3 linked regions of the Xenopus tropicalis genome follow. The protein of the gene in region 3 purifies or fractionates together with the protein of the main gene of each other region. This does not show direct contact. Links are inferred from orthologs where the notes say so. Each region holds a gene or a part of one and is shown on either strand. Other genes may lie near its edges.

Region 1 (2,435 bases), on a different chromosome or scaffold from region 3:
CTGGTAAAGGCAAAAGCTTAAGATTGCATTTCATTGCAATTCCCATCATCATATTCTCCTCTTCCCCATGGCAACAGAAAGTTACAGAGAGGCCATGAGTACCTGCAAAGATTCAGTAGTTATACACATGGATTAGAGTTTTAGAATTTGTACAGCAAGCCTTATTAAGCTTCAAGGCTACAAAACATCTTGAACCATGGGAATGAATTACCTTTTGCAACTGGTTAAGAAAACTAATAAGAGGAGCTGTTCAACAGATGGTATTTTTTATTCCATCTCAAACACTCCTACATCTATAACAGGATAAGAAGGGATATTTTTCAGTTCAACTTCAGTTTTTTTGCCCTCATCTTGCTTTTTATAAAGAACCTCACTCAATTAATGCACTTAGAAAAATAGCATCCTTTTCTTATTGCCAAAACAAGAAGAAATTCATAATATTGTATTAATGTCGATAATCTTGACAAAGTTACTGAAATGCTACTGTAAGTAGTACTGTCAGTACCATTTTACTACTTTAACCAAAATTCCATTACTACATTAGCAACTGCTCTGAAAATGTTGAAGCTTTTACATTTCTAGCCCTAAAAATAAAGAAAAATGGCTAAGTGCATGTAAATTGTAACTGCTACAGCTTCAATGTTTTTAAAAAAATTGGGCGCTAGTGATAAAAATGAAAGAATAACCCTGCTTTCTTCTTAGAATGGATTGTGAATTCCAAGACTGAAGAAAACAAAATTTATATTATTTACATAGTGTGAGTGAAGATTATTATGTTTGTAAGAAATCTCAAATTATTTTCTATTGTCTTTGTCAGTGACAGGTCCCCTTTAAAAAGCAAATAAAAAAAAGCCATGTAGTCTTTTTATAGAGTAGAACAGGGGATAGAGTTGCCATGTGTAGGCATACCCAGTGTCCATACTACGTAGGCAAAGTAGGCACACCTACAGAATAGTGCTGGGCGGTATACACCGAACACCGTTTTTTTTTTTTTTTTAAAATGATAAAAAATTTTAACTTACCGGCATACCGGTGTGGGCGCCTCCTGGCAATTTTTCTTACTATTTCCGGGTTGTGCGCGCTGACGTCACGTGCGCAACCCGTAAATAGTAAGAAAAATTGCCAGGAGGCTCTGTGAGCTGTCGGGGGTGCCTGCGGCTGCCTGGCCCGTAAGGTTTATTTATGTGAAGGGGATGGGGGTTGTTTGGGGTTGGATGGGGGGGTGTTTGGGGTTGGATGGGGGGGTGTTTGGGGTGGTCACCTAATCATGCATGGGAAAAAAAAAATACCGTCAAATACCGTGATACCGATATAATAAAAAAAATACCGTGATATAAATTTTTGGTCATACCGCCCAGCACTACTACAGAATAATACTTTACAGTCAACAGATTTAAGCACACACCAAAGGTAAAGTATTTATAATTTACCAAACCGTCCAGCTCTTCCAATTCGATGCATATAGGTTTCCCAGTCCTCTGGAACATCAAGATTAATAACCAGATTCACCCTCTCTGCATCAATCCCCCGCGAAGTCTTTAAAGAAAGAAAAAAAAAAAAAAAAGGTTCTGCCTTCACAGCCTTAGAATAAAAAGCAAAAACCTTTGTCCGTTGTTTATACTTCTAATACATGAGAGTTGATTTTTATATTTCAGCCTACAAAATGTGTTTCTAGCCTTGAGGGTCCTTTTTAACAGTAGCCACTTGACACCTTCAATTAACTTCCAAGTCTAATGCAGAATGAAAATCCTAGCAATTACAGTTCAATCTTACCGAACTCTTCCTAGCTATCCTTCAGACTAATAAGATACTGTTTGCTACAGTCAAGAATTCTACAGTGAATTTATTCTGTTTGTACTCACATTAAAGTGAATCAATAGAGTGTGCAGAGCTCTACAATGCAACAGTTCTTTGTAATTCATTTCTTTTTAGCACTTCCAAAATGAAAGGCAGCAAGTAATTATCAATAACTACAGCAGGCTATGTCAGGGACCTCTGTGCCTTCCACTGTATCAAGGGATAATCCTAGTTTATCAAAAAATGGCGTCTGTGTCTTTTAGATCAAAAAGTTTTACTCTTTTTCAATAAATTATACTAGCTGCCTTTTTTAAGAGAATTCTGCATGTTAAAGCCCAAATCATTATCAGGTTAGTCACTTACTAAATCAGTAGAAATTAAGACCCGGCAATGGAACTGCTTGAGTTTGGCCACAGCATCCAGCCTTTGGTTTTGATTCATGCTACCTAGAAATACCAAAGCTGCATTAGTAAGGTTGCTAATTAAAAACAGAAATTAATAAATTCACATTAAAATAACCCAAGGAATACAGGATAGAGTTTTTTGCCACACTACTGTACATTCTGGCACAGCTTCTAGTCTATTTGCAGTGAAGGATATAGTCATCTCTACATAAACATAAGGATATACTGTAAATT
Region 2 (2,693 bases), on a different chromosome or scaffold from region 3:
AAAAAAGGCTGGATCCAGCCCGAATCCCGAACCAAATCCAGGATTCGCTGCATCCATACTCCCTATAGATCCCATAAGTTCTCTGTCCGTGTTGCAAATGAAGAGTGGGCGTGTCCTAACAGTCCCTGCCAGAAGCACAGTAAGAGGGTGATAGCCAACCACAGCCCTGCACTCACACAAGCAAAGACATGCTTCAGTTCCCTATCAGGTCAGCCTAGCTGCTGATTGGTTTATATCCTACAATGCAGTGTTCTGAGAGCCGCTGGCTCCCTTGCACATCCAGAGAATTCAGCCAGCAGGAAGTGGGACAGATGGACTGGACTAGTGGGATTTTGGAGGAATTTCTCAATAAATCAGTCCAAAACACAACTTAAACTCCATGGCTTTTCGCAGTATGGATTAGAGGATTTGTTTTTTTTCAACCAATTGGAGACATTACCTTCATATTTAATAACCTAAGGAAAAAATGCAGTATATTAAATCAAGACAGACACATTGAACTGCATCTATATTAAATCTTTTATTTTTTTGTATTTTTTTCAGTGCTAACATAACATTATACCCCCTGGTGCTCTCACTAGAGAAATAAACTCTGCAAATTTCCGATACAGTATGATGTGAATTTGCAGATAATAACTAGCAAAAACAGTGCAGGGTCTGAGAGCACTCCGAAAGAGACAAGGCAGCTGCTAACAAGGAAACCCTTATTTATTAAGATGCAAATAGGGCTCCAAGCACACATAGCAGCCCAGGATGGCTCAGATCTAGCTGGTATAAAAGTAATGCGTGTGACCCATAACTGTACCATTATTGCAATATATTACTCCATGCTACGTTACTTTAAAAAACAAAGTGCTTTTCTGTTCATTCTTTACTTGTCCTACACCTTGAATTTGGAACTATATGAAAGTATTACACAGAATTTCTGGTCAAAAAACAGTCTGTTTAAACACATTAAAACAAAAAAGGCACATGTGAATCAGTATAAGTAAAACTGATATAGATCATACTAATGGTTATATTTATCTTATAACTTGCAAATCCCATAATGGGTAGGAAACAGGCAATGAGGATATATGCTGCACACCCACTGTCTTAACTGACTACTGGTGCTAGCTTCCTTTTAAACCAGGCAAGGTCCACAATAAGACTATAGTGATATTAAAGGAGTGACACCCACGCTTATTTATGCAGTCAGGGAGATGACCAACCGTGCATCAACGTTTCAGGAGAATGCAACCCACCCATCGTCAGGCAAGTAAGGAAAAGGCAAGCCATGGTTTTATATTAGTATATTAAATATAAAATGAATCCTCTTAGACTGATTACAGACTATATAAGGAAAACATATCCCGCTTTTTGAAAAAAAGTGTAATGCAACCCCTCCTTCGTCCTGTTCCATTGTGAAGTGATGGATTCTGTGACTTGGACTCCCTCTACTTTTCAAAGAATTTTTGAACTTCCCCTCTATAAAGCAGAAGGACTTAAAATGCTATAATCTATCACTTTAAGAAACAAGGTGAGGGAGGGGTTGGATAGCTGTAAGCGGTTAGGAACCGGTACTTACAGCAGCAATATGTAATAAATAAAAAAACAAAATAAATAAGCTCATGTCAAAAAGTGTAGAGGAGCATATTATCTATTTAAGCATTGATGGCTTAAATACAAGATGTTTGTACAAAATGCTATTTTCAGATTTCTGTATTATGCTATATTGTACATACCTGGGTAAATTATGCCTGCTTTTGTAGTTTAAAACTGGTTGGAAGCAATTTCCCCTTGTATTAGGCCAGTGCCACATGGGGCTGAGCCTGTGTTTATCCTCACACACAAGCAGTTTCATGCCAAATTTCACTGTGTGTACCTGTGCCCAGGCAGAGAATATGCTCTGTGTAGCATTGGTCTAAGCAATTACGCAGCAGAACAGGTCGTATAAAGAAAGATATTACATTTCAACTAAAAAAAAAAAATAGTATTCTATACTAAGTTAAAACTGAAAAAAGTATGACTTACTGAATTAGCCACAAAAGATTTCACCTAATCCTGTTCCTACTCCACCATATGCAAAAAATGAAATGTTCAGATACAATTTGGCCAGGTTCTCAAGATGTATCTCAATCCTGAAATAAATAGTCTGGGATTTGTTTAAATTTCTTATTAAATGCAGAATTTAGTACTTATCCAATAACTTGTAATACAAATTCTTACAAATGTTATTTGTGTCATATATTTTTATGACTTCAATAAAAGTACTGCAGCTCCTTGGTGACTTAATAGCCATAAATTTTTGAACTAGGGGGTACTTAATCCTTATATTTTTAGGTGTTAATATTTATTAAATATACAGCTAGATAAAGGTTTCATGTACCACTGTTTTTTTCAAAAACGTTTCTTTCCTCACACTGGAAGTTTTTCTCTACAATTTATTAATTTTTTGCATTAGAGTTGTGCGATGGTGCTCATCACTTACATTCTCAGTAATGGATTTCAAGAAATGCCTCTCGTTAGCTCTTCTGAGAAAACTGTCTGTTGAAGTGTCACTTGCCCTTAGAGTCTCATACAGGGACAGAATCTCAAGTGAAAGTACATAAAGCGGCTCACATGTATTGTCCGGCATCATTGCTATAATATGAAGAACATGGCAGAATACCTGCATATAAAAGAAGGAAGCCTCCTGAACATAGTCCTGTTCT
Region 3 (4,209 bases):
GAACCCAGCAACACCAACCACAGAAAGCCTTACAACTGGTGCACGTACATTCCAGAGCCCCAACACTGCACAGAGAATGTATAATGGATACCGGCTAATGCCCCAGCTGAGCTAACACTCCAACTTCCCTGCAACAAACACACGTGCAATGCTCCCATTCAAAAGCAGCCAAACTAGCAGTATATGCTGGACTATGGCAGGCAGCCCAATCACACAAAACCTTTCTTTTAACAGAACCCCATTCAGAACCCTTACTATCATGTGACTTAAGCCATGTTTAAATCATGCACCTTTACGCTAGCCATACATGGTGAGATCCGCTCCCCAAGCGAGTGGATCTTCTCCCGATATCCCCACCCACGGGTGGACGATATTGGGCTAATTTGGCCCTGGGGCCAAAAGATTGAATAAGAATGGCGGGTATAAGGTGCTGTCGGTTCAGGGACTGCGTCAACAAGCCAACGCGGACCATGATCCAACGGAGAAACCAAACCAGCACAAACATCTGGCCAATTTCAGGGCCTCAGTCGGGGAGGCCCATTGTTCGTACCCATACACGAGCAGATAAGCCACCGAATCGGTCTAAAGGACCAATATCAGCAGCTAGAATTGGCCTGTTTATTGCCACCTTTACCCCCCTTGTTTCTTTGCCAAGACCTTTCAGTAAAACACAGATTAGTGCATTGGTGTTTGTGCCCACTTCTGTCTGATTCTGACCTCAACTGCACAGGCTCCTGGCCAACAACCGCCCCAAGAGAGCTGGACATCAAGCGGCCAGAGACGGCAGCCATTGCTAATTTTTAATACAGAAAATTTGCTGCACTTTGTTTTTTCCAAGTTCTAGTTGTGCATCCCAAGATGGCAGCCCCCATTGCCACTACACAACTCTGCATCTGTTTAACAGGCACAGGGCAGATCTGGGCAGTATGGGTGGGATGGAAACCTCTGCAGGGGGTACATGATACACACATGGGTTTCCTTGTCCTTTAAAACACCATACAATTATTTTTTAAAACCGTTACAGGCAGCACTCCATAATAGCATTAAAATGACTATTATCACTACAACGGCAACAGCAACATTTTGAGCCTTATTGGCTCTCTATCAAGCTTGGGGTGTTATATTGATATTATGGCTGCAAGTGTCCAGGAGTGGGGGCCCCTGCTGGATGTGCACCCATTGCTGAATCGTGCTACTGAGTGAGTTTTAAGGTCCCCATACACGGGCCGATTCTAGCTGCTGATATGGGTCCCTTAGACCGATTCGGCAGCTAATCTGCCCGTGTATGGGCACTACCGACGGGCCTGCCCGACCGATATCTGGTCTGAAATCGGGCAGATCTCGATCGGGCAGGTTAGAAAATCTAGTTGGATCGGGGACCACATTGGCTAGTTGATGCAGTCCCCGGACCGACTTTGCCTATACCCGTCGTTATAATTCAAGTCAAATTAGCCTAGATTCTCCCGATATCGCCCACCCGTAGGTGGGGGATATTGGGAGAAGATCCGCTGGCTTGACCACATCGCCAAACGAGCGAATCTGAAGGTGTATGGCCACCTTTACCTACTGGTTTGCAATTTTTTTCCTTCAGATGAATCCAATTTACCAGCGCTGCTCATAGTTACACATGCAAGAGTGTCTGGGTCACAATTACGTAGGACAAAACGCTCACAATTAAAATGAATCCACAATCTGTTAGTCGGAGTAGCAGCTCACCCTAACATTGCCTTTAGTACAGTGATCCCCAACCAGTGGCTCAGGGCAACATGTTGCTCCCCAACCCCTTGGATGTTGCTCTCAGTGCCCCCAAACCAGGGAGTTATTTTTGAATTCCTGACTTGGGGGCAAGTTTTGGTTGAATAAAAACAAGATTTCCTACCAAATAAAGCCCCTGTAAGCTGATAGGGTGCATAGAGGTGCCTAATAGCCAATCACAGCCCTTATTTGGCTGAACATTTATGGTGCTTGTGTTGCTCCCCAAGTCTTTTTACATTTGGCTGTGTCTCACAAGTAAGAAAGGTTGGGGACCCCTCAGACAAAGTATTCCTACTACAACTCGCACTTGTGTTTTTTTTTAGTTTTCCTGCTTTTTAATGACTTGCGATTTGTTCTCCGGCTAGGAATTTAAAATGGTTGCCTGGTTACTAAGGCCCCACGTTCCCTAGCAACTACACCGCAGTCTGAATGACAAATGATAAACATACGGGGAAACCCAATAGAAAGATACATAATAAACAATATATGCCCAGCCTCCATACTACAATTTAGGGTTCCTAGGTCAGCATTGAAATGCAGCACTAAAACAGTTAAACACACAATATCATGAAAATAAAGACCAACTGCAAACTGATAGTCCCCCTCTGTCACCACTTGTTGCTGAACTACAGCTCCCAGCATTCCTAGCAGCTGGAGAGTAGAAGGACAGGTGGAGAGGCACAAGTTGGAATGACCCCCACTCCGGCTCCCCATGTGACCAGGCGGCCCTCCCGCCGTTTCCAGGGCTTCTAGGGCCCTGACTCTCCCAGCGCAGTGGGATTGGGATAAAGCAGCGCTAACTCACCCGGCCCGGCCCCGGCGTACATGTCTGCGGCCCCAAGAGCGAAGTGCGAGGGGGAAAATAAAGTTCCAGACACAGGGGGTAACGCAGCCAGTCCCGCCCCCTTCGCTGTGCACAGAACCCCTCAGAGAGCGGCCAGTCAGTCCGTTAGGGCTCCATGGTGTAAGGCACGGTGTGTGGGAGGGAATACGCCGAGTTCCCGCCTCTCGCTTCTCTCGCTTCTTTCCTTTTTTTTCTCTTTCTTTTGCGCGACATGAACTGAGGGGAAAACGGCCGGCGGACAGAGGCTGGGGGGCGGGACACGCAACGTCAAGGGGCGGGAACTCGGCGCATTGGAGGGAAGGGGGTGACGTCACACGACGCGGGCGGAGCTCTGGCCGGGGAGAAAAGGGAAAGCGGCTGTTGCTGGGCGGAGCTTTTTTCCTCTTTAGCTTGTAATAGAAATAAGGGGGAGGGGGCGGGGCCAGACGCGGCGGGTTTGGTTATTTTTCAACAATAATGAGCGGCGCTGGGTTACTCGCCGGAAGTGAGTGCTCTGCCATATTGGGTATGGGCAAATCGATAAAGCGCTAAACTTTGCCTTTGCCCGCGAACTGTGTTTATCCGAGGGCTTAAAGCGATTACATTGACGGACAATGGACTGTTTATGTCTGGTCTTCGTCATCTGCATTTTGTCTGTTAGGCTGAGCAGCCCCATAAGCCATACACCCTGTAATAAATATAATGACTATACGGTTCTGCGTTTGTGACCAATATTTGAAGGGCATTTTTTTTTTTAGAATTTCTTTATTATTTGATTTCTTTTGGAAATGTAAAATACTGTCTGGTTGCTAAGGTGAGTGGTACCCAGTAACCAGACAGCAGTGTATAGATTATTTCTTCTCATGGATGGACCTGGGCTAACAGTTAAGGTGGCCATACACTTAAGATCTGATTGTTTGGCGAGGATCTTCCCCCAATATGCCCACCGACGGGTGGTTAGACGGCAGTAACAGGCACTGTCGGATCCCACAGAAATATCAAACCTGCTCAATTGAAAGCTGGCCAATTTCAGCCAGATGTTGGTCGGGTGCCCAAACTTGGGCAGATAAGCTGCTGAATTGGTCTAAAGAACCATTATTGGCAGATGAAATTGGCCCGTGTATGGTCACTTTCAATGTTACACACCTTGTATTTTTCCACTGATATGAAGGCGCCCAACCCTTTCCTAGTGCTATCTAATGTATCTGCCATTACCAGCCCTTCAGGGAAAGAATCCCACAATTTCTTTTTTTTTTTTTTGTATTTTAACTTTTTTATTGATCATAAAACATTACAGTCAATGATTCACAAAGTTGTGTGTGGTTACATCAATAAAGTATACAAGTATGATTCATTGTGTATCATTCCTTTAGGGAAGGGGGGAGGAGGTAATGGGAGGGCGTTAGGGGGGTTGTGCGGGTCGGGGTCTTGCTTTCTCAGAGTCCTGAGCTGCTGGGAGGTGTAAAGTAAAAGTCAAAAGATGTATACATAAGGAAAACGAATGGTGTTGTAACTTCTCGAACTAAAACCAAACTGGGTGGGGTGCCTCTGAGAAGTTAACCCAGGGGTGGGCAAACTTTTTGGCTCAGGGTCCACATCGACTTTGAAAATTTGACATACGGGCCGGGCCA

The links. Proteins that work in one complex are often made in the same cells at the same time.
Region 1: the proteins of ago2 (region 3) and ddx20 purify together in Homo sapiens (affinity purification with western blotting; 3 studies listed by BioGRID). This does not show direct contact. The link is inferred for Xenopus tropicalis from reciprocal best matches to the Homo sapiens genes AGO2 and DDX20.
Region 2: the proteins of ago2 (region 3) and gemin4 purify together in Homo sapiens (affinity purification with western blotting; 4 studies listed by BioGRID and IntAct, with this or other methods). This does not show direct contact. The link is inferred for Xenopus tropicalis from reciprocal best matches to the Homo sapiens genes AGO2 and GEMIN4.

Annotation. Positions count from the first base shown.
Region 1 is NC_030678.2:59,584,980-59,587,414, reverse strand, and holds part of ddx20 (probable ATP-dependent RNA helicase DDX20), read right to left. Parts: intron 2,244-2,435; coding exon 2,161-2,243; intron 1,537-2,160; coding exon 1,431-1,536; intron 103-1,430; coding exon 1-102.
Region 2 is NC_030678.2:96,483,717-96,486,409, reverse strand, and holds the end of gemin4 (gem-associated protein 4), read right to left. Parts: coding exon 2,417-2,693; 3' UTR 502-2,416; downstream 1-501. UniProt on the Homo sapiens protein: The SMN complex catalyzes the assembly of small nuclear ribonucleoproteins (snRNPs), the building blocks of the spliceosome, and thereby plays an important role in the splicing of cellular pre-mRNAs.
Region 3 is NC_030682.2:146,755,575-146,759,783, reverse strand, and holds the start of ago2 (protein argonaute-2), read right to left. Parts: upstream 2,821-4,209; 5' UTR 2,583-2,820; coding exon 2,561-2,582; intron 1-2,560.